4 linked regions of the Arabidopsis thaliana genome follow. The protein of the gene in region 1 purifies or fractionates together with the protein of each later gene. This does not show direct contact. Each region holds a gene or a part of one and is shown in the gene's direction. Other genes may lie near its edges. The genes, in order: AT3G16680, ELF7, AT1G62020 and AT5G38640.

Evidence for each region.
Region 2: the proteins of AT3G16680 (region 1) and ELF7 fractionate together in Arabidopsis thaliana (co-fractionation; one large-scale study listed by BioGRID). This does not show direct contact.
Region 3: the proteins of AT3G16680 (region 1) and AT1G62020 fractionate together in Arabidopsis thaliana (co-fractionation; one large-scale study listed by BioGRID). This does not show direct contact.
Region 4: the proteins of AT3G16680 (region 1) and AT5G38640 fractionate together in Arabidopsis thaliana (co-fractionation; one large-scale study listed by BioGRID). This does not show direct contact.

The regions. Positions count from the first base shown.
Region 1 is NC_003074.8:5,681,430-5,684,825, forward strand, and holds AT3G16680 (DNA binding / DNA-directed RNA polymerase), read left to right. Parts: upstream 1-1,906; 5' UTR 1,907-2,095; intron 2,096-2,222; 5' UTR 2,223-2,267; coding exon 2,268-2,408; intron 2,409-2,494; coding exon 2,495-2,598; intron 2,599-2,682; coding exon 2,683-2,701; 3' UTR 2,702-2,849; downstream 2,850-3,396. Other genes in the region: AT3G16670 (Pollen Ole e 1 allergen and extensin family protein), read left to right, coding at 71-251, 399-682; SWEET16 (Nodulin MtN3 family protein), read right to left, coding at 3,134-3,259, 3,358-3,396.
Region 2 is NC_003070.9:30,000,026-30,005,830, reverse strand, and holds ELF7 (hydroxyproline-rich glycoprotein family protein), read left to right. Parts: upstream 1-1,747; 5' UTR 1,748-1,861; coding exon 1,862-2,457; intron 2,458-2,535; coding exon 2,536-2,604; intron 2,605-2,684; coding exon 2,685-2,792; intron 2,793-2,876; coding exon 2,877-3,057; intron 3,058-3,146; coding exon 3,147-3,223; intron 3,224-3,306; coding exon 3,307-3,426; intron 3,427-3,855; coding exon 3,856-3,961; intron 3,962-4,193; coding exon 4,194-4,280; intron 4,281-4,385; coding exon 4,386-4,454; intron 4,455-4,542; coding exon 4,543-4,611; intron 4,612-4,703; coding exon 4,704-4,847; intron 4,848-4,944; coding exon 4,945-5,088; 3' UTR 5,089-5,293; downstream 5,294-5,805. Other genes in the region: AT1G79740 (hAT transposon superfamily), read left to right, coding at 1-757, 1,064-1,464. UniProt on the Arabidopsis thaliana protein: Component of the PAF1 complex (PAF1C) which is involved in histone modifications such as methylation on histone H3 'Lys-4' (H3K4me3). Involved in regulation of flowering time.
Region 3 is NC_003070.9:22,917,718-22,924,563, forward strand, and holds AT1G62020 (Coatomer, alpha subunit), read left to right. Parts: upstream 1-1,769; 5' UTR 1,770-1,944; intron 1,945-2,073; 5' UTR 2,074-2,096; coding exon 2,097-2,304; intron 2,305-2,408; coding exon 2,409-2,903; intron 2,904-3,063; coding exon 3,064-6,011; 3' UTR 6,012-6,307; downstream 6,308-6,846. Other genes in the region: AT1G62030 (Cysteine/Histidine-rich C1 domain family protein), read right to left, coding at 6,592-6,846. UniProt on the Arabidopsis thaliana protein: The coatomer is a cytosolic protein complex that binds to dilysine motifs and reversibly associates with Golgi non-clathrin-coated vesicles, which further mediate biosynthetic protein transport from the ER, via the Golgi up to the trans Golgi network.
Region 4 is NC_003076.8:15,467,172-15,472,317, reverse strand, and holds AT5G38640 (NagB/RpiA/CoA transferase-like superfamily protein), read left to right. Parts: upstream 1-1,593; 5' UTR 1,594-1,643; coding exon 1,644-2,130; intron 2,131-2,233; coding exon 2,234-2,353; intron 2,354-2,505; coding exon 2,506-2,867; intron 2,868-3,030; coding exon 3,031-3,775; intron 3,776-3,868; coding exon 3,869-3,965; intron 3,966-4,057; coding exon 4,058-4,112; intron 4,113-4,132; exon of another isoform or gene 4,133-4,235; coding exon 4,236-4,298; 3' UTR 4,299-4,639; downstream 4,640-5,146. Other genes in the region: AT5G38650 (Proteasome maturation factor UMP1), read left to right, coding at 1-44, 463-560, 1,010-1,110; APE1 (acclimation of photosynthesis to environment), read left to right, coding at 1-44, 463-560, 1,010-1,110; CYB-1 (cytochrome B561-1), read right to left, coding at 4,807-5,103.

The DNA.
Region 1 (3,396 bases):
AAACCCAAAGCAACACAAACAAATATTTGCTATCTACTCTATAGTTTCATATACAAGTAATCCAAAAAAGATGGCAGTTATCAAGAAACACATAACCTTCTCATTGGTCTTGTTGTGTCTCATTGTGGTGTCTCCAATGGCTAACGCTCAGAGTGGTCTTGGTGGTATCAATGTCCCCATTATCAATGGGGTTCTCTTTTGCACCATCAATGGCGCCCCTCTCAATGGCACTCCGGCCCCGGCTTTCGCTAGTTAGTTGTCCATTCTTAACCTATACTATATATACGAACTAATAAAAAGATTCACGAAATCATATTTATCTTAATGACGAATATTCACAAAAAGATAATATTTATGATCTCTTTGTTGACATACTAATTTAATGGTGCAAATAACAGATGCGGTCGTCCAGCTCCAGTGTGGAAACCTAAACAGAGTCGTAGCAGAAACAATTACGAACATTGCCGGATTATTCACGTTTTCTACAAACGGAATTCAGATATCCCTTCCCACACTCCTCAACGATTGTCGTATCGTCGTCCCAACCCCTCGCTCCAGCTGCGACGCCACCCTCCCTTCCACCGGACAACTGATCTCCCAGTTAAATCTCGTCGGCAGTATCGTCTCCGGCCTCCTCAACATAGTCGCTATCCTCCCAACCGGTTTTATCCCCACAATCTAACTAAAACCAAACTATAAGCATAATTAATGTTCGGTTACAGTGTGTTTCCCTTCTCTATATATGTTTTGTGTCATGACCATTTACGTTTGTTTGCGTATGCATGAATAAGGTCAAGTTTCTGTCTCTGTCTTTGAAATAAAGCTCTTGTAAAACTTCTGTTTCCAGGGTCTTGCATGCATGTATAGTGCTGTAATGAAATGTAACAAATAATTTCCCTTTCTATCCCTAGCTATATATATATATATATATATATAAATATATATATTTTTTGGTAAACTGTTAAGTAAGCGTCCAATATATATTTGCTTTTATTTCACCTTTATTTTTATTTTACATCGAGTTTATCGAGTTTCGTATTTATTACACAAGTAGGAGGAAAAAATAAGGACAAGTTTAATTAGTGATGTAGCGTCTATCTTCCTATTTCCTTTTACGTCTTTTCCTTTTCAAGTTCGTCTTTGTTTTTGGGCTTTCGTTTTTGTTATTAGGTTTTCTTTAAACTGTGTCGGCTATTTGTTGCTTTAGCCTCAAGTTTCAACAAGGGATTTATTCTTAAGTTCGTATAAGTACTCTTAAACTTGTAAGAGATACGGTGGTTGTTTTGAATAAGAAAACAGAGAAGCTTTTCTCTATCTCAAGTCTTTGAATTCTCCTCTTCTCTTGATCTATTGATACTCGAGAATACTGAGAACTCTTAGCTACGGTTGCTAATTCCGTGATCCATCGATACTCGGAGTTTCTAACGTATTTACCGCTGTATTAATTAGCTAGACTTCAAACCGACATTAACTGTGTTAAGAAAAAAAAACTGTAAGTAATGCTTTTCGCAGCCGCTTTAGAGACATCCCTATCTCCTTCGCTAATTTGCACACTTCGTACGGGCTTCTCTCCTCTCTCTCTTAGATCCTTTCGTTTTCTATCCTAAATTCCAACAGTATTAATCCTCATCACTTTTATGGATTTTAATCTCCTTGTTGTTTCTGTAAATTATCGACTCTTTCTTGTTTATTGATTACCCTATGTACTAGTGTTGGGAAATAATTAATTAATCTCCTAATGATGTGGATATTAATTTGATCTTCTCTTCTGCTGTATTTAAGAAACCTTTTTACGTTTATATCTTTTTTTAAAAGCTGAATTGCTTATTCATTATCCTCTGAATAATAACAATATAGCTGACAGTAATTAACAAAGCAGTGTAATCGGTGAAACTATGGCTCTAATGGACGAAGAGATCAAACGACTGTTCCTAGTCCAGAGGACATTGATGCAGATGCTGAAGGATCGTGGCTACTTAATCGACGGTTCTGAAATTACAATGACCCTAGAAGAGTTTATTGAGAAATATGGCGACAATATGAAAAGGAGTCTCTTGTTACTCTCAAAGCTAAGAAAAATGATGACAATGATAAGGTAATGTATAATTAAGTATGATGTCTCTCAATGTATTTATACCTATAAGAAGATATGGTTTGCATTGTATAAAACTGCTAAAACGCGTAATTTCGTGTGTTTGATCTCGTCTTGAGTTGTTTTGTAGCTTTATATTTTCTTCCCCAATGCTTCCAAAGTTGGAATTACGGAGATGAAGAAATACATAGACCAGTTAAAATCGGCAAACGTTTTCAGAGCAATTTTAGTGGTGCAAGATATAAAGGCATTTTCTCGCCAGGCTCTGGTTTTTTTAGGTGCGGTCTATCCAATATTTCATATTGAAGTTTTCCAGGTAACTAAAAAAACAAAACACATTTTGATTTTTGTTCTCTTGATCATCACAAAAGCCTAAACCATGATTGAGTACTGTTGGTTCAGGAGAAGGAATTGATAGTGAACGTTAAGGAACATGTTTTTGTTCCTGAGCATCAAGCTCTTACTACTGAAGAGAAGCAAAAGTTTCTAGAGAGAAAGAGAACCAGGTTTGTAGTTTTTTTGCACATAGAAATAAAGTATTGTTATTAGTTTTGGGTGATTAAAGATTTGGAACCTGTTGGTGTTGTTAGCTTCCAAGGATTCACGTGACTGATCCAATTGCGAGATACTTTGGACTAAAACGTGGCGAAGTCGTCAAGATCTCTCGACTGAGTGAAACATCTGGTCGTTATATTACTTATCGCTATGTTATATAACCAAAACCGTTGACAATGATTTATTTATGACCTTGTTTGGGAGGCGTTATAATGATGTATGCATGATTCAGGCCTAGCATTATTCCAATAATGGTCATATATCTCGATTAAGAAAACATAGTGTGACCAAAAAGTAATCATTGAATAATGTTTGCAATGTAAACTTAAAACTGTCATATCCGGAGAGAAAAAAAAAAAGAAAAGAGAATTTTTTTAATAGCTAGGACACAGTCAAAAACCAATACTCAACCGAAAAAAGAATCGAATATTTATTTTGTTTGTCAGGATAAATTATTTTAGAAATTTTGATGGGTAAAAGACGAGGTTAAGCGAGGAGAGGTTGATTTGGTATGAGGCCTTCTTCATCTTCTACAATTGGTTCGGCATTTCTGTAATAGGCATAAATTAGGAGTTGCATTATCCCAAGAAAGAATCCCATTCCATTTGGCACCTACACACACAAAATACAAATTCGTTTAAATATTATGATAAAAACAAAAAAAATCTCGCTTTCTTTTTAAAAACATTTGATACCAAAATGATACTTACTAGTAGAAACATATCGTGTAGGAGTAAAGCGTAGACACC
Region 2 (5,805 bases), on another chromosome or scaffold:
CCCTGTGCATCTCAGTGTTTGAACATCATCTTAGAAGAATTCTCCAAGGTTGATTGGGTCAATCAATGTATATCGCAAGCGCAGGTCATATCTAAGTTTGTCTACAACAATAGCCCCGTGCTAGATTTATTGAGAAAGTTAACAGGCGGGCAAGATATTATCCGAAGCGGTGTCACAAGGTCTGTCTCCAATTTTCTATCATTACAGTCAATGATGAAACAAAAGGCAAGGCTAAAACACATGTTCAATTGCCCAGAGTATACCACAAATACTAACAAACCACAGAGCATTTCATGCGTGAATATCCTAGAGGATAATGATTTCTGGAGAGCTGTGGAAGAAAGTGTGGCTATTTCCGAGCCTATCCTGAAAGTGTTGAGGGAAGTTTCTACTGGAAAGCCCGCTGTAGGTTCTATATACGAGTTAATGTCCAAGGCCAAGGAGTCAATACGGACATACTACATCATGGATGAGAATAAGCATAAGGTCTTTTCTGACATAGTTGATACTAACTGGTGTGAGCATTTGCATTCACCTCTTCATGCAGCAGCAGCATTCTTGAACCCCAGTATTCAGTATAACCCAGAGATAAAGTTCCTCACTTCCTTGAAAGAAGATTTTTTCAAAGTGTTGGAGAAACTTCTTCCTACTAGCGATCTACGGCGTGATATTACAAATCAGATATTCACTTTCACTAGGGCAAAGGGAATGTTCGGCTGTAACCTGGCCATGGAGGCGAGGGATTCAGTTTCACCAGGTATGGACAATAAATACATTTATATTTTCTTTAAGTCATGACTAGTGAACAGAGATGTATAGGTAGTCTGAGTCGGGAGAAAAATAATCCACTTATCTATGACCGCAATTAAAGCTATGGTCTTATTACACAACTAAATAAGTCCAGGTTGATATAGCCTGGCACGTAGTAAACCGAATTGCAAAACTAGTAGATATCTTCCCCTCACCAGGCTATTAGGGGTATGGTCTGGGATCTTTAGAATTGGTAACGAAGCACTAGAAGACTAGAAGTTGATGTCTAATAATGGTTTGCTTAGTAATGCAGGTCTCTGGTGGGAGCAGTTTGGTGACTCAGCACCTGTTTTGCAGCGGGTGGCCATCAGAATACTAAGCCAAGTTTGCAGCGGTTACAACTTGGAACGCCAATGGAGCACATTCCAGCAGATGCACTGGGAAAGGCGAAACAAGATTGACAGAGAAATATTGAACAAGTTGGCGTACGTGAATCAGAATCTAAAGTTAGGGAGGATGATAACCTTGGAGACAGACCCAATTGCCCTGGAGGACATTGACATGATGTCGGAGTGGGTGGAAGAGGCAGAGAATCCCAGTCCTGCCCAGTGGCTTGACCGTTTTGGGACCGCCCTTGATGGAGGCGACTTGAACACCAGGCAGTTTGGCGGTGCTATTTTCAGTGCCAACGACCATAACATCTTCGGCTTGTGAAGTCCTGGTAAGAGGTTTTCATAAGTTGGTCCAGCGTGTTGAGTGTTTAACCACACACCTCGGTTCGCTATACTGTACATAATGTTTGAGTAATTATCAATGTAGAAAATAAATATTTTGTGTTCCTCACACAGTCACACGTCGATGAGCTTGGTGGTACAAAGCATGTTTCGTTCATATTTGGGATTCATAAAACGGTGAGCTTAAGATTGTTTTTGTTTGTATTGAAGCCGTAATTATCAGAACCCATATGATAGTAGCGGTTATTGGGCCGCTAGTGAGGCCCAAATTAAAGTAAAAAGGAAAAATCAGTCTGACCGGAGCTATATAATTAATATATATCAAGAAGACTCGTTTTAGTTGGTTTAGGTGATTCAGATCACAAAGTACACCGAGAATGGCGTCGTACCGGCCGCCGTATCCTCCTCTTCCTCAGCCACCATCTCAAAATTCTTTGGCCCCTCCGCCTCCCCCGCCGTCGTTACCCCCTCCTGTTCCTCCCCCACCACCGTCGCATCAACCGTACTCATATCCTCCGCCGCCGCCTCCTCCTCCGCATGCTTACTATCAGCAGGGGCCCCACTATCCTCAATTCAACCAGCTCCAAGCTCCTCCTCCTCCGCCACCTCCCTCAGCTCCTCCTCCGCTCGTTCCCGATCCTCCTCGACACCAGGGTCCCAATGACCACGAGAAAGGGGCCTCCAAGCAGGTTGGAAGGCGGGAGCGTGCTAAACCGGATCCATCGAAGCACCACCACAGGTCTCATCTTCCTCATTCTAAGAAAATCGAGACCGAAGAAGAGAGGAGGCTTAGGAAGAAGAGGGAGTTAGAGAAACAAAGGCAAGACGAAAAACATAGACAGCAGATGAAAAATTCTCACAAGTCTCAGATGCCCAAGGGACACACCGAGGAGAAGAAGCCGACGCCCCTACTCACCACCGACAGGGTCGAGAATAGGTTAAAGAAACCAACCACCTTCATCTGCAAGCTCAAGTCAGTATTCTTCAAACGACTACCTAAATCTTTTTTACATATTATTGTTAGACTCTGATATTCATCTTCTTCTTCAAGGTTCCGGAATGAGCTCCCTGACCCTAGTGCACAGCTTAAGCTTATGACCATTAAACGGGATAAAGATCAGTATGTTTCTCTATTATTGCCAAATTTTATTTCTGTGTTATTCTACTGTCCTTACTTGCCAGCTATTTTGATCCCACTAGATTTACAAAGTATACCATCACATCCCTGGAGAAATTATGGAAACCAAAAATCTTTGTCGAGCCTGATCTTGGAATACCCTTGGATCTGCTTGACCTAAGTGTGTACAAGTATGTGCTCTCAATAAAGTCTTAGTGTCTTTAATGCCAGCGACCTCATCTACTGGGGATACTTACTGTTGTAGCTCTTTTCAGCCCTCCCAAAGTCAAGGCACCTCTTGCCCCTGAAGATGAAGAACTCTTGCGTGATGATGACGCTGTTACACCTATTAAGAAAGATGGCATCCGGAGGAAAGAAAGACCTACTGATAAAGGCATGTCTTGGCTCGTCAAAACACAATACATTTCTTCTATTAATAACGAATCGGCAAGACAGGTATCTATCCATCTCGCTTGTTGGAAATTTGTTTTGCCATGTATAGCTTCTAGAGACAGTTTCCAATTTCCTATGTTTACCTTGTGTAGTCGCTAACGGAGAAGCAAGCAAAGGAACTGCGAGAGATGAAAGGAGGCATCAACATCTTGCACAATCTTAACAATAGGTGTGTTGTTTCTCAAATATGTGTATTTCTAAGGAAAGTGAGAAAAAAAAAGGTCTAATGGTTTATTTTTCTTTGGTCTCTAGAGAGAGACAAATCAAGGATATTGAAGCATCCTTTGAGGCATGCAAGTCTCGACCAGTTCATGCCACCAATAAAAACTTGCAGCCGGTTGAAGTTCTACCACTGTTGCCATATTTTGATAGGTTGGATGCTCTTTATTTCCCCTTGCAGACAATCTTAAATCTGAAATACCGAATCAGGCAAAATTTTCTCATAATAGTCCTACATGTAGACACAGCTTGAAAGCTGACACTTTACAGATTATCTTTATGTTGGCTCTCTCTGAAGGATCTCCTGTGGTCGGAAACATGCACGAATAGTTTTCCTATAGGATAGTGTAATCAATCGGGTGGGAAAATAGGCAGCCTTGTTAAGGTCTAACTATACAACACTTAAGAGAGATGTTGGGTCTTTAATTTTTCCCTTTTCTCTGCTCCAACTCTTGTTCAAATGTTTCTTTGCTAGGGTTTTAGTGTATTGCCTTTTGGATGAAACATCCACTAATAATTTTCACTGAACCTGTAGCATACTATGCTATTACATTTGACTCTCCCCTTCCTTTTTTGACACAGGTACGATGAGCAGTTTGTGGTAGCGAATTTTGATGGTGCTCCTATAGCTGATTCTGAATTCTTTGGCAAGTTGGACCCTTCAATTCGTGATGCACATGAGTCACGGGTGAGTTATGAGTTACCGATATCCATGAGTATGGTCCAATTATCTCTGGTCTCTATCATAGGGATACTTTGTTCCTGAGAGAAAAGATGACTGTATCAACTATATCGTTTTTGTTGCTTACATAAGTGTACTTGAATGAGGATAGGATATATGATATATGGGGCTGAATCTTAACTATGGTTGATTGCCTTATTTTCATATTGATGACGAGCTCTGACCTCATACTCCACAGGCCATTTTGAAAAGCTATGTGGTGGCTGGATCAGACACTGCCAATCCAGAAAAATTTCTGGCGTACATGGTTCCTTCCTTGGATGAGGTAGACATGCCTCTCCATAAACTGATCTCTCTTTTACACAAATTTTGACAAGTCAAGAAAAGTTCAGTTTGATTGATGTGTTATCAATTTATGTTGCTGTGCCAGTTGTCTAAGGATATCCATGATGAAAACGAAGAAATCTCTTACACTTGGGTTCGCGAATACCTCTGGGATGTATGTACTATAGCCAATGTGGTTTAAGTGAAATTTTGATTGTTTGAGTTGCAGATTGAAATAAATATGTCACCTGATGTTATAACAGGTACAACCCAATGCAAACGATCCTGGCACATACCTGGTATCATTTGACAATGGGACCGCTAGCTATCTGGTATTGCATCGGTTTTTGTTACATATTCCAGTTGTGTATCTTTTTTTTCTTCTGTCTATAATACTTTGGGATGACCGTTGAGAATTTGGCAGCCCCTACCCATGAGGTTGAACTTGAGGAAGAAAAGGGCCAGGGAAGGAAGATCTTCTGATGAGATTGAACACTTTCCAGTACCTTCAAGGGTAACTGTAAGGCGGAGATCAACTGTATCAGTGATAGAACATAAAGATTCAGGGGTATAGTAAATCCATACATTTAGCCTTTAAAAGAGTAACACGTGGAAAGTTCTAGTTCTCTTACCAATTCCTTTGGACTTTGGGGCTTTGGATGTAGGTTTACTCTTCTAGGGTTGGTGCTTCGAGCTCCAAGATGAGAAGATTAGAGGACGAAGGCGGCCTTGGTAGATCTTGGAAACACGAGCCGGAACAAGATGCCAATCAATATAGTGATGGTAATGAGGATGATTATTCTGAATGAACGTTTCGTGTACCTCAAACTATTGAATCGGTTTTGCAATGGTTTTCCTGCAAGGCTATTGTAGGCTAATTTAAAAGCGTAATATGGCCTCCACCACAGCTTTGTAGTTTGGCAAGTAAAGAAATTTTGATTTGGATAGCTGGCGAAGTTGAAAAACGATTTTACATGTACACGTCCATAATTAATGAATTGGCCATTTACGACTTTGATCCTATCTAATGTGGCAGCTCCGTTCATCTTCAGTGGCTATGTTCATGAGAACACATCCCTGAGAGAATTCCTTGTACAGAGAAGCCTTCTTAGATACTTACTTACACTGTCTTTCTACCAGAGCTGATTAGAATCTGTAATAATATTATACAGGTTCTACTACCAGTAATTAATTAGGATGGATTAGAGCAAATCTTGTACTGTAGTAGATCCCAGTGTTGCAATTGTGGTTATTTTACAGGTTCCCGAAAATATGACATTTTCAAAATTTCTTGTACAAATGAAATTATTATGGTCCACTATGTTTTCTTTTACGAAGGGCTTTTTCTATTAGGTGGGCCTATTATTATATGAAACTGGGTTTCCTCTTGTGTAGCCCAGTGGGCAGTATAAAAATCAGCCCAAAACATAACTGCGAAATTCAAATTCTTACCCACTCGCACAATTAGCGCGTCGACGCCACCTCCTCAAAATCTGTGGACCGTTTTTGGCTGTTTTTGGTAAAAT
Region 3 (6,846 bases), on another chromosome or scaffold:
AGCTAGTTGAGGATTTATAATAAGGTAAATAAGTAGAAAAGACTTTTATAGTCTATTGATATATCCAATCCATTTACTTGATCCATCTCTGTATGCAATCTGACTGACAAATTGTAATTGTTAAACTCTTTTTTACTAGCTTTTTTTAACTCTTCAACATTAAAAGTCTAGAAACAGAAGACAACTATTTACTACATGATATTTTTGGTTATTTGTTAACAAGAAGCACTGTGGTAAAGCAGCCGAGGATGAATAATTTTAGTGTTTGTTTGATGAGTGTTAATCTTCATGGAATCCATAACCACAAAGATTTGGTTGATCCATCTATATAAAGCAAATAGGTGTAGTTAATCAATTCAAGGTCTTTTAGTGTTATCCCTTGCCAAGGAGGGCAACACTAGAGTCTAGAGTTTCGTTTTCCACTTGAGTCCTTCTGTTGGAGACAGTGTCTTCATTACACTTCCTAACCGATTCCAAAGCTTCAAATTTCATCAAACCTGCAACATAATGATGACTTCACAATGGTGTCGAGTGAGCTCCATTAAAACATGTATAGGCCTAGGATTCAGCATAATGATGATCAAGCGCTATCTTGAGTGCATTGTAATTTGATGAAAGAAGTTGACTTGACCAGTGGCAACTAGAGGCTGGAGAAGAGGATTGTCCCAAGTTATAACCTAATCAAAGCTGGTACGTCTCGAAGCATGATGATAAGCTGGTATTGGAGATTACTGTTTTTGCTCCAAGGAATGTCATATCAAGAAACTGTGCATTGTTCTTGTACCTCGCTAGCATCTTCCTTTGTTGGTTACATGGTTTGCTATTCCAACCAAGCTCTGGTACTATAAGGCAAAAGGAAAGGAGAAGGAGACCATTAACTAGTCTATATTACAACAATACATTATATGTTTCGTGGATATCTCTTTTTCTTATCTTCTCTGCTGTTTTCCTTTCTTTTGTAAAGATTGTTCTTTGAACATGAATCAATACACTTTAGAATCTATTAAGATAGCAAATAAGTTGATGCAAAGAGCAAGTGTGAGATGGATAATTGAACGGGAGTGAATGAACCTGTCACTAGATCTCTAATGGTTGTTGTTACCTCCTGGCTCCTCCTCAGCTGCCTAAACTGCGTTTAGCTCGGCCGCCTATCACTTTTTTTTTGTGTGTAGGTTTGATTGGTCTCTCTCATTCAGAATCATATGATCAATTTGTTTTCAAGTTTTGCAATGTTTTTGAAAACATTACATTTACGCTAATTGGATTTTTAAACTCGATAACCGTGATTACAAATAGAGACGTAATATTTTTTAGATTATTTCTCATGTTTTTTTGTGATTTGTTCATCTTATGCATAATTTATTTTTCACTTATGTTCAACAATAGTATACAAAAATTTAGAAATGCTCATCATATATAAAATCACTTTTGACGTTCTGAGGCTCCAATCTATTAAAAATAAACGATATAGATGATAATATATACGTCTTTTAATCAAGTGAATGAATATTTAGTTTTTTTTTTTTTAATAGGCTTCACTTTGTTTCTTACTCAGTTTAATTTTTATTTGGTTTTTATAAAATTACAACTTAGTTTTAATCAAAGGTTCTAAATTAAATTTGACCAAAAACATAAAAAAATAATTACGTAAGAGCTTTTTTGGCAGAAAATAATTTAGAGTAATTATTTATTCCTTCGACGTTAAAAAAGAATAGGAAAAAATATGTTTAAATTGCATCATTCGACCAATAAGATTAGAACTCATCCTTTTTTTTTTTAAGGATATATAGAATTCATCACTGAATACATGTTTTTATCCCAAATTAACGCAAAAGAGAGAACTCGAGATCTGGGCATAGCGACTCACTCAGATCTATACACCTTCTTCTTCTTCTTCTTCTTCCTCTTCCTCTTCGCTTCGTTCGTAAACTCATCTGATCTGTGGTAACCACCATTGTTCCTCTCCTTACGATTTCGAATTTCTGTTTTGATCTCACTACCATTGTTGCAATTTAGATCTATTTCTAATTGTTCGTGATTCGCTTTTTTTTTTCTGTGATCTGGTTTTTGTAGAGTGCCATTATCGTTGAGAGATTATGTTGACAAAGTTCGAAACCAAAAGTAACAGAGTTAAGGGACTGAGTTTTCACCCTAAACGACCATGGATTCTCGCGAGTTTGCACAGTGGCGTGATCCAGCTCTGGGATTATCGTATGGGTACTTTGATCGATAGATTCGACGAACACGAAGGACCTGTTCGTGGTGTTCATTTCCACAATTCTCAGCCTCTCTTCGTCTCCGGAGGTATATATAATTCGGAATCATTGTTAGTGAAATCGTATAAGCTCAAAAGAATGGATCTATACATGATTTGTTGCATTACAATGATGTTGATCTTGATATTGCAGGGGATGATTACAAGATTAAAGTGTGGAACTACAAAAACCACAGGTGCCTTTTCACTCTTCTAGGGCATCTTGATTATATCCGCACGGTTCAGTTCCATCATGAGTACCCATGGATTGTGAGTGCAAGTGATGATCAAACTATCCGTATATGGAACTGGCAATCACGGACTTGTGTTTCTGTATTGACTGGTCACAATCATTATGTTATGTGTGCTTCTTTCCATCCGAAAGAAGACCTCGTCGTATCAGCTTCGTTAGATCAGACTGTTCGTGTTTGGGATATTGGTGCTCTTAGGAAGAAGACTGTATCTCCTGCTGATGATATCATGAGGTTGACTCAGATGAATAGTGATCTTTTTGGTGGAGTTGATGCCATTGTCAAGTACGTTCTTGAAGGTCATGATAGAGGTGTAAACTGGGCTGCTTTTCATCCCACCCTGCCTCTTATTGTCTCGGGTGCAGATGACCGCCAAGTAAAGCTGTGGCGTATGAATGGTAATTATTTGGTGGTATACTTTTGTGCTTACAATTTTTATATGCTATCAATCGTCAATGATGTTACTGATATGAAAATATTCTGCATGCCTTAATCCTTAGATGAATCTCGAAATTGCAAAGACGAGTTGGTAACATGTTTTTAACGATATCATTGCAGAAACTAAAGCTTGGGAGGTGGATACATTGCGAGGCCATATGAATAACGTTTCATCTGTTATGTTCCATGCAAAACAGGACATAATTGTATCAAACTCTGAAGATAAGAGCATCCGTGTCTGGGATGCTACCAAGCGAACTGGACTTCAGACTTTCCGTCGTGAACATGATAGATTCTGGATTCTTGCAGTTCACCCTGAGATGAATCTACTAGCAGCAGGACATGACAGTGGCATGATTGTGTTCAAGCTTGAGAGAGAACGTCCTGCATTTGCTTTGAGTGGGGATTCTTTGTTCTATGCCAAGGATAGATTCTTGCGGTACTATGAATATTCAACTCAAAGGGATTCCCAAGTTATCCCTATACGGCGTCCGGGTACTCCAAGCTTGAATCAAAGTCCTAGGACTCTATCATACAGTCCCACTGAAAATGCAGTTTTGATCTGCTCAGATCTGGATGGTGGTTCGTATGAGTTGTACATCATACCGAAAGATAGTGTTGGCAGGAGTGACGTTGTGCAAGATGCAAAGAGAGGGACAGGTGGCTCTGCAGTATTCATTGCCCGTAACCGATTTGCTGTTCTCGAGAAAAGCACCAGCCAAGTGCTAGTCAAGAATCTAAAGAATGAGGTGGTTAAAAAGAGTCCTCTGCCTATTCCCACAGATGCTATCTTTTATGCTGGGACTGGGAATTTGCTTTGTAGATCTGAGGATAAAGTAGTTATCTTTGACCTCCAGCAAAGGCTTGTTCTTGGTGAGCTTCAGACACCATTTGTTAGGTACGTTGTTTGGTCCAGTGATATGGAGAGTGTTGCTTTGCTCAGCAAACATACTATCATTATCGCGAGCAAAAAACTTGTTCTCCAGTGCACGCTTCATGAGACGATACGTGTGAAAAGTGGAGCTTGGGACGATAATGGTGTCTTCATTTACACAACTTTGAATCATATCAAGTACTGTCTTCCTAATGGAGATAGTGGAATCATCCGAACCCTGGATGTCCCAATCTATATCACCAAGGTGTCTGGTAATACAATCTTTTGCTTGGATCGGGATGGCAAAAACAAGGCTATCACCATTAATGCAACCGAGTACATTTTCAAGCTTTCACTGCTGAGGAAGAGATATGATCATGTCATGAGCATGATAAAGAACTCTCAGCTATGTGGACAGGCTATGATTGCTTACCTGCAGCAGAAAGGATTCCCTGAAGTTGCCCTCCATTTTGTTGAAGATGAGAGGATCCGATTCAATCTGGCTCTTGAAAGTGGCAACATCAGTGTGGCTGTTGCATCCGCTACACAGATTAACGAGAAAGACCACTGGTATAGACTTGGAGTGGAGGCTCTTCGCCAAGGTAATTCTGGAATTGTTGAGTTTGCATACCAGCAGACAAAGAACTTTGAGAGGTTATCTTTTCTTTATCTCATTACTGGAAATTTGGACAAGCTTTCAAAGTTGATGAAGATTGCAGAAGTGAAGAACAACGTAATGGGACAGTTTCACAATGCTCTCTACCTAGGAGATGTTAAAGAGCGTGTTAAGATACTGGAGAATGCTGGTCATTTGCCTCTAGCTTATATCACAGCTTCGGTTCATGGTTTAAATGACATTGCTGAGCGACTGGCAACTGAGTTAGGAGACAACGTGCCCTCATTGCCTGAAGGAAAAACTCCATCGCTTCTAATGCCACCGACACCCATCATGTGTGGTGGTGATTGGCCTCTTCTTAGAGTGATGAAAGGAATATTTGAAGGAGGACTTGAGAGTGCAGACAGAGGAGGTACTGTTGATGAAGAAGATGTTGAAGGGGATTGGGGTGAGGAACTTGACATTAATGTTGATGGAATGGAGAACAGAGATATTGAAGACATTTTGGCGGCTGCAGAAGCAGGTGAAGAAGAAAACGATGAGGAAGGTGGATGGGGACTTGAAGACTTGGTGCTCCCACCAGAGCTTGACACTCCTAAAGCCTCTGCTAATGCACGTTCATCTGTTTTTGTGACACCTCCCCAAGGTATGCCCGTAAGTCAGAGCTGGAGCCAGAAATCTTCTCTTGCTGCTGAGCAAGCCGCAGCGGGAAGCTTCGACACTGCAATGCGTCTGCTCCACAGACAGCTTGGTATCAAGAACTTTACACCTTTGAAATCGATGTTTCTAGATCTGTTCAATGGCAGCCATAGCTATCTGCGTGCTTTTTCTTCATGTCCTGTGGTTCCACTTGCCATTGAGCGTGGATGGAGCGAGTCTTCCAGTCCCAACGTCCGTAGCCCACCAGCTCTTGTTTATGATTTCTCTCAGCTAGACGAGAAGCTCAAATCCGGCTACAAAGCTACAACAACTGGGAAATTCACTGAGGCTCTCCGTCTCTTCCTTTCTATCCTGCACACCATCCCTCTAGTGGTAGTCGAGACAAGAAGAGAAGTGGATGAGGTCAAGGAATTAATCGTTATCGTTAAAGAATATGTCCTTGGTCTTCAAATGGAGCTCAAGAGGAGAGAGATGAAAGATGATCCGGTGAGGCAGCAAGAGCTCGCTGCTTACTTCACTCACTGCAACCTCCAAACACCTCACTTACGGCTTGCGCTGCTTAGTGCAATGGGTGTCTGCTACAAGGCAAAGAACCTCGCCACTGCTTCTAATTTCGCCAGAAGACTGTTGGAAACAAGCCCAGTTGATAGCCAAGCCAAGATGGCTAGACAAGTTGTGCAAGCCGCTGAACGTAACATGACCGATGAAACAAAGCTTAACTACGACTTCAGGAACCCTTTTGTGGTATGTGGTTCCACATATGTCCCGATCTACAGAGGACAGAAAGACGTCTCATGTCCTTACTGCACCGCCCGGTTTGTACCAAACCAGGAAGGAAACATCTGCACGGTCTGTGATCTAGCAGTGATTGGCGCAGACGCATCTGGTTTGTTATGCTCTCCATCTCAAGTCCGGTGATCAATTTCAGATTTCATAATCAATACAGAGATGCTCTATTAACAGAATAAGAGTGTTGAACTTTTGGTGTTTTTGTGATTGTGTACTTACCAATCAGGTTTGAGGATTTTTCTCGTTGCAGGTTTTTATTACTCTTTTAAAAGTTGTTTCTTATCTTTTAGTACACATGAGAACTTTAGCTTCTTGCTTTATAATTTCTCTTTTTGATGCATAGTAGCACTGGATAACTTGTAATTTCAATTTCGGAAATTATGGTTTACTTGTGAAATTATGATTTTATAAATTCTCCAAATTTTTGAATTTTGTGAGTGTCGTTCCTAATTACAAATTTATCTACAACGAAATGTACCGATAAAGTCCAATGTATTTTTTTAATTGAACCGATAGTAAACCAAATTGTTTAGTCAACTAACTGTAGTTCTAGGGAAAGATAACACTGTAACATGTTGATTGCTAAATAGTTTTTTCTCCTTGCATGTTTTATCAATCGAGCTTTTATAAAAAGATTGATCCGACAGAACCCGACGCAACTAAACCGATAGTAACACAAAAACAGAGACACATCAGAGAACACTAATCTCTACGTCAGTGCTGAGAACTCATAATTTCCGTAGCCTCTCCGTTGTAGATATTCGCGATGACCAGCTGTGTTCACCTTTGTAGACAAAAAATAACCAACACAAGATGTGGAACAAAATTTTGAACCAGACGACTCCAAAACTATTTTGTGTGGACAACGCTTCTTGCAATGAGAGCAAATAGGTCGAGTCATATGATGATCGTTGGCCCGAACATATATCTTCTCTCCATTGAAGGAGAAGCTTATCCAAGATGA
Region 4 (5,146 bases), on another chromosome or scaffold:
GCTCTTCCTTTGAAGATGGATCTTGATAGACAAATCCTTTCTCGGTATGGATCTTTAAATCTGTAGCATATGAAATTCTGAATTACACTGATTATTAGGTATGAGAATGTATGAGAATCTTCCTTAGGCTTTATAGAATACTGTTAAGATTGAAATATGGTTTCCTAATGCTAGTAATCTATCTTGATTAGGTCAATTGCTGTTCTGAATTTTGAAATATTGTTAGTACAAATGTGTATATGAATCATCATAATGATTATATCGAAAATTCGGAATCATAATCGTGTAGTGCTACTTAGAATTAGATTTGCAGAACCATAAACGCGTAGTGGATACTCTTAAATTAGTAGCAATATGTAGATTGAATTCAGAACCATAAACGCATAGAGCAGCCTCTTCTTCATTGAATATTTATTGGTGAATTGAATATTTATTGTATATCTTTTTATGTGGAGTATTCAGGTTTCAGAGACCTCCTGGACCAATTCCTTCATCAATGCTTGGCCTTGAAGTCTACACAGGAGCTCTAGATAATTTTGGTTTTGAGGATTACTTGAATGGTAATTGTTTTACACCAGTTTTCCCATTTGGTTGTGCATTAGAGTTTTCTATTCCTACAATCTTTGAGCATTTCTCAAAACATGACCGTCACATACTGCTTGCATTGTGTAACCAAATCATCCTCATCCTTGCATAGAGTTTAACTCTTTGTTTAGCATATAATAGAAAAGTGTCTCAACTTGTTTATTTCGTTTCGCTTACTAGTCTCTACTTTGTAGATTGTTCCACTCCAAAACACCAATAGACAGTGACAAACCTTTGTTCCAGTTAGACTGTCACAAATCATCGAGCATTGCTCAAAAATTGACTGTCACATACTACTTACTTACATTGTGTAACCAAAGTTGAACTTTTGGTTCAGTATATAAGAGAAAAATGTTTAAACTTTTTAATTCTCTTAGTTTCACAATTTATATTGTTCTGACGATGAATGGTGTATAATCTACAGATCCTCGCGAATCCGAGACGCTGAAACCAGTAGACTTTCACCACGGGATGGAAGTTCGGCTTGGTCTCTCCAAAGGCCCAGCTTCCCCAAGTTTCATGTAGTCACCACCATCAAAGTATTTCCTTCGTCAGGTCTCATATGCTTTTTAATCTGAGTAAGATCATGTTATGAATTTCCACCAGCCCTAAAAGAATCTACTTGTTGTTTGATCTCTTCTCTATACTGTGTCTCCTTTGCTCTGAACATGATAAAACATATGAACTGTGTTTCAGTTCTTATCTCTCTCAGTTCACAATTTGTTGGACTTGCTTAGTTATTTAAATAAGATTATGCTCCTATTTCATTATTATGTTACTGACACCAAAACCTTGGATACTAGATTCTATTAGAATAAATAAATTGCATATGGATTAATACTCTAAACAAAACAAAAACAAAAGAACAAAGTAAGATTGTTTTAGTGACTCGGACTGGACTGTTAACATCGGATAAATCTGAAAAAGTAAATAAATAAAAATAAAAACCCTATTCTACGTTTTATTCGTCTGGGAAAACAAAAATTAAATTCGATCCCCAAAATTAATAATTCCGTCTTCACCGAGAAAAAATCCAGAGCTTCTTCTCCTCCGACGCGATGGAGTCTCGTCGGAACCCTCGCGCCGTAGTAGATCCAAAGGTCCGACAAGTCGGTTTCTTCACATCATCTCAACCCGATTCATCAACTCAACAACAACAACCCGACCCGATCGCTGCTACCTCTGCTTCTTCTTCTTCTTCCACCATTTCTCCTTCCGGTAACTCACTCTCCCCCGTCATGATTCCTCCTCCTCGTCTCAATTCCTCTGATACTTTCCCTCTTCGAGTCGCTGTCGCTGGTGCTGCTGCGTCAGCCGTGTCTCCTTCTTCGTTTTCTTACTCAAGTCGCCGTGATTTCCCTGATGGATCAACGACGGCGTCTCCTGGACGCCATTCCAGGGGTAGTTTCGTAAAATCATCTGTTCCTGTTGCTTCTTCGCTGCCTGGTATTGGGATGGATTCTATGGCTGCTGCTAAATCTAGTAGTGTTCCTGCTAGTGGTTTAACCACTGTCTCCGTCGTTACCATGCCTCCTGGACTTTCTGGTACTCTCACTTTTGATCTTGTGGAATCATAATTTGATTGATTTTGAAATTTGTTCTTTAGGATATATGAGGCTAATGTATTCACAATGTTATATAATTGCAGAGAAGGCTAGTGGAATGGAGGTGCAGAGTGACCAGAAGAAGCCATTGAAAGAGAAAACCACTAAAGCTGAGAGACGAGCTATTCAAGAAGCTCAAAGAGCTGCTAAAGCTGCTGCAAAAGGTGCATTTTTGATTTAAACCAATGTGTGGTTTTATCGCAATGAATGATTCGTCAGCTTAGTACAGAGATTTGATATGCTGGTTGCTCTGTTGTGTTATCGTTGTGTATTTTGCAATATCTTAATCAGTCTGTGTAATACTGTGCTATATCAGCTGATGGTGGGAAGGTGGCACCAGTGTCCTCAGCCTCGGTGGCTTCAACAAGTGTTAAAGCTGCTAAACCAGCGAAGGCTACATCTCAGAAGAATGATGTTGCTGTTGCTACTGGAGCAGCTGAGAAGAAGGGAGGTCCATCTGAAAAAGATAGAAAGAAAGATGCTCCTCATCCCCGCATGCAGTATGATGATGAGAGTAGAGTCGTGAAGGCTAAAAGACGTGCTGTTGTAAAACAGACCGAGGCTAAAAACAGGGTTGAGCTATTTAGGCATTTGCCTCAGTATGAGCATGGCACTCAACTTCCTGATCTCGAGACTAAGTTCTTCCAACTTGACCCTATGCATCCTGCTGTGTACAAGGTATTTGTTTTCTCTTGAATTTATCTGGTTGGTGCTTCTAATAAACTATTAATAATCTCTTTGTTAAAACAAGGAACCGTTTGTTCTAATGAGTGGTTTATATTGCTTCATTAAGATGAATGTTACTTGTATACTGAATGAGTATCAGTTGTTGTGGTATCAGGTTGGTCTTCAATATCTTTCTGGGGATATCTCTGGTGGCAATGCCAGGTGTATTGCGATGCTCCAAGCATTCCAAGAGGTTGTCAAAGATTATTCAACACCGCCTGAGAAGTCTCTTAACAGGGACATGACTGCGAAAATAAGTAGCTACGTCTCCTTCCTCATAGAATGCCGTCCGCTTTCGATTAGCATGGGAAACGCAATACGATTTGTGAAAAACAGGATTGCAAAGCTGCCTATAACACTTTCTGAATCTGAAGCAAAAGCTACTCTTCAGTCAGATATTGAACGGTTCATTAACGAGAAGATCATAGTGGCAGATACGGTGATAGTCAAACATGCTGTTACTAAAATAAGAGACGGTGATGTCCTTCTGACCTACGGATCTCCCACTGCTGTTGAGATGGTAATATTACATGCACATGAACTCAGGAAAAAGTTTCGAGTCTTGGTGGTGGATTCTCGTCCAAAGCTTGAAGGGCAGCTACTGCTTCGTAGATTGATCAAACGAGGCATTAACTGTACATACACTCATATAAATGCCATTTCATATATCATGCATGAAGTCACCAAAGTGTTTTTGGGCGCCTCGTCAGTTTTGTCTAACGGAACAGTTTATTCAAGGGTTGGGACTGCTTGTGTTGCAATGGTTGCAAATGCATTCCGTGTTCCTGTGCTTGTATGTTGCGAAGCCTACAAGTTCCATGAGAGGGTGCAATTGGATTCAATATGTTCCAATGAGCTTGGTATGCAATATCTTCTCTCGATATCAGTATCATCTTATACCGCCTTTGATTTTGTTTTACCTTACATTGGGTTTCTTGCTTCTTTACCTTTAGGTGATCCAAATGCTATTTCAGAAGTTCATGGAAGAGAAGACATAAACTATTTAGATGGCTTGACCAACAACGCAAACCTGCAGTTTTTGAACTTGATGTAAGCTTGTGTTTATCGGAGAAGTGAAACTATGTTCTGTTAATACTAATCCTCTCTGCCACTAAACTCGTTTGTGATTTTTCTAATGACAGGTATGATGCTACACCTTCAGATTACATTTCCATGATAATCACAGATTATGGCATGGTAAGATTAACCATCGTCTCTTAAAAACATAGCATTAGGTTCCTGAAGTCTCAGACCTATAAAATACAGTTTCTCCACTTATTCAGAATCTCAAACCATTGAACGCAATGTTTTCGTTTTCAGGTACCTCCCACAAGTGTGCCTGTCATCGTGAGAGAATATCAGAAAGAACACTTGCTTGTCTAAGCAAAGCTCATTTTTGCGAAAGCTCTTCTTCTCCAACCCCCTCCTCTAGCTCAGGCTCTTCTCATCACAACCCAGATAGAATAACTACCGGCACTGCCTCCCCTCATCCGCTTCTTTTCCTGAGTACCGGGTTCATTTTTTTTGGCCTTGACTTGTTTTTAGAAACTTTTGACTCTGTGAAGAGTGCGATTCATCATCCGCCTCTCCGGGAAGATTTTATCGATATCGGTGATGTTTTTCTTTGTCTGTGATGTATGAGTGAGGCTTCTCTTACTCTCCCTTCTCATGGAGGTTGATACAAATCTTTCTCAGATTCTATGCCAATTTTTGTTGGGTTCAGTCTTCAACATTGGTTACACGTGTTCTCATGCTTTACTTGTATTACAGTCATATATGCACTGCTCGTTAAATCAGTTCAAAAAGACTCAATTACATCACAAATTGTCTCTTAAATAAACAATGTTTCGATAGGTCGAAATGTTGAAAGAGATCTTTTCGAGGGTTTACTCTATTGTGTGAGAACTTGATCCTTGCCACTGACCGGAGTAACCACACCGAGTATCACGAAACCGCCAAGAATAAGGATTAGAACGCCCATTGTGTTGACTAACATTGCCTCTGTGGAATACCGAGTTATCACTTGATTCACTTGCAGGAACGTCACCTTCTCAAGTATCCCTGTGGTTGCAGTCACCAACGCCAATGCATATATGGAAATCCCTAAGAACACATGCCATGGCATCAAACTGGCTCTGCTGTTTCTTGAACCACCCGGGTACCAATAAGTCACAAACCCTGCAGCCCACTGTTTGTAACAATAGATTTGAGTGAGTTCTTGATATTTATTC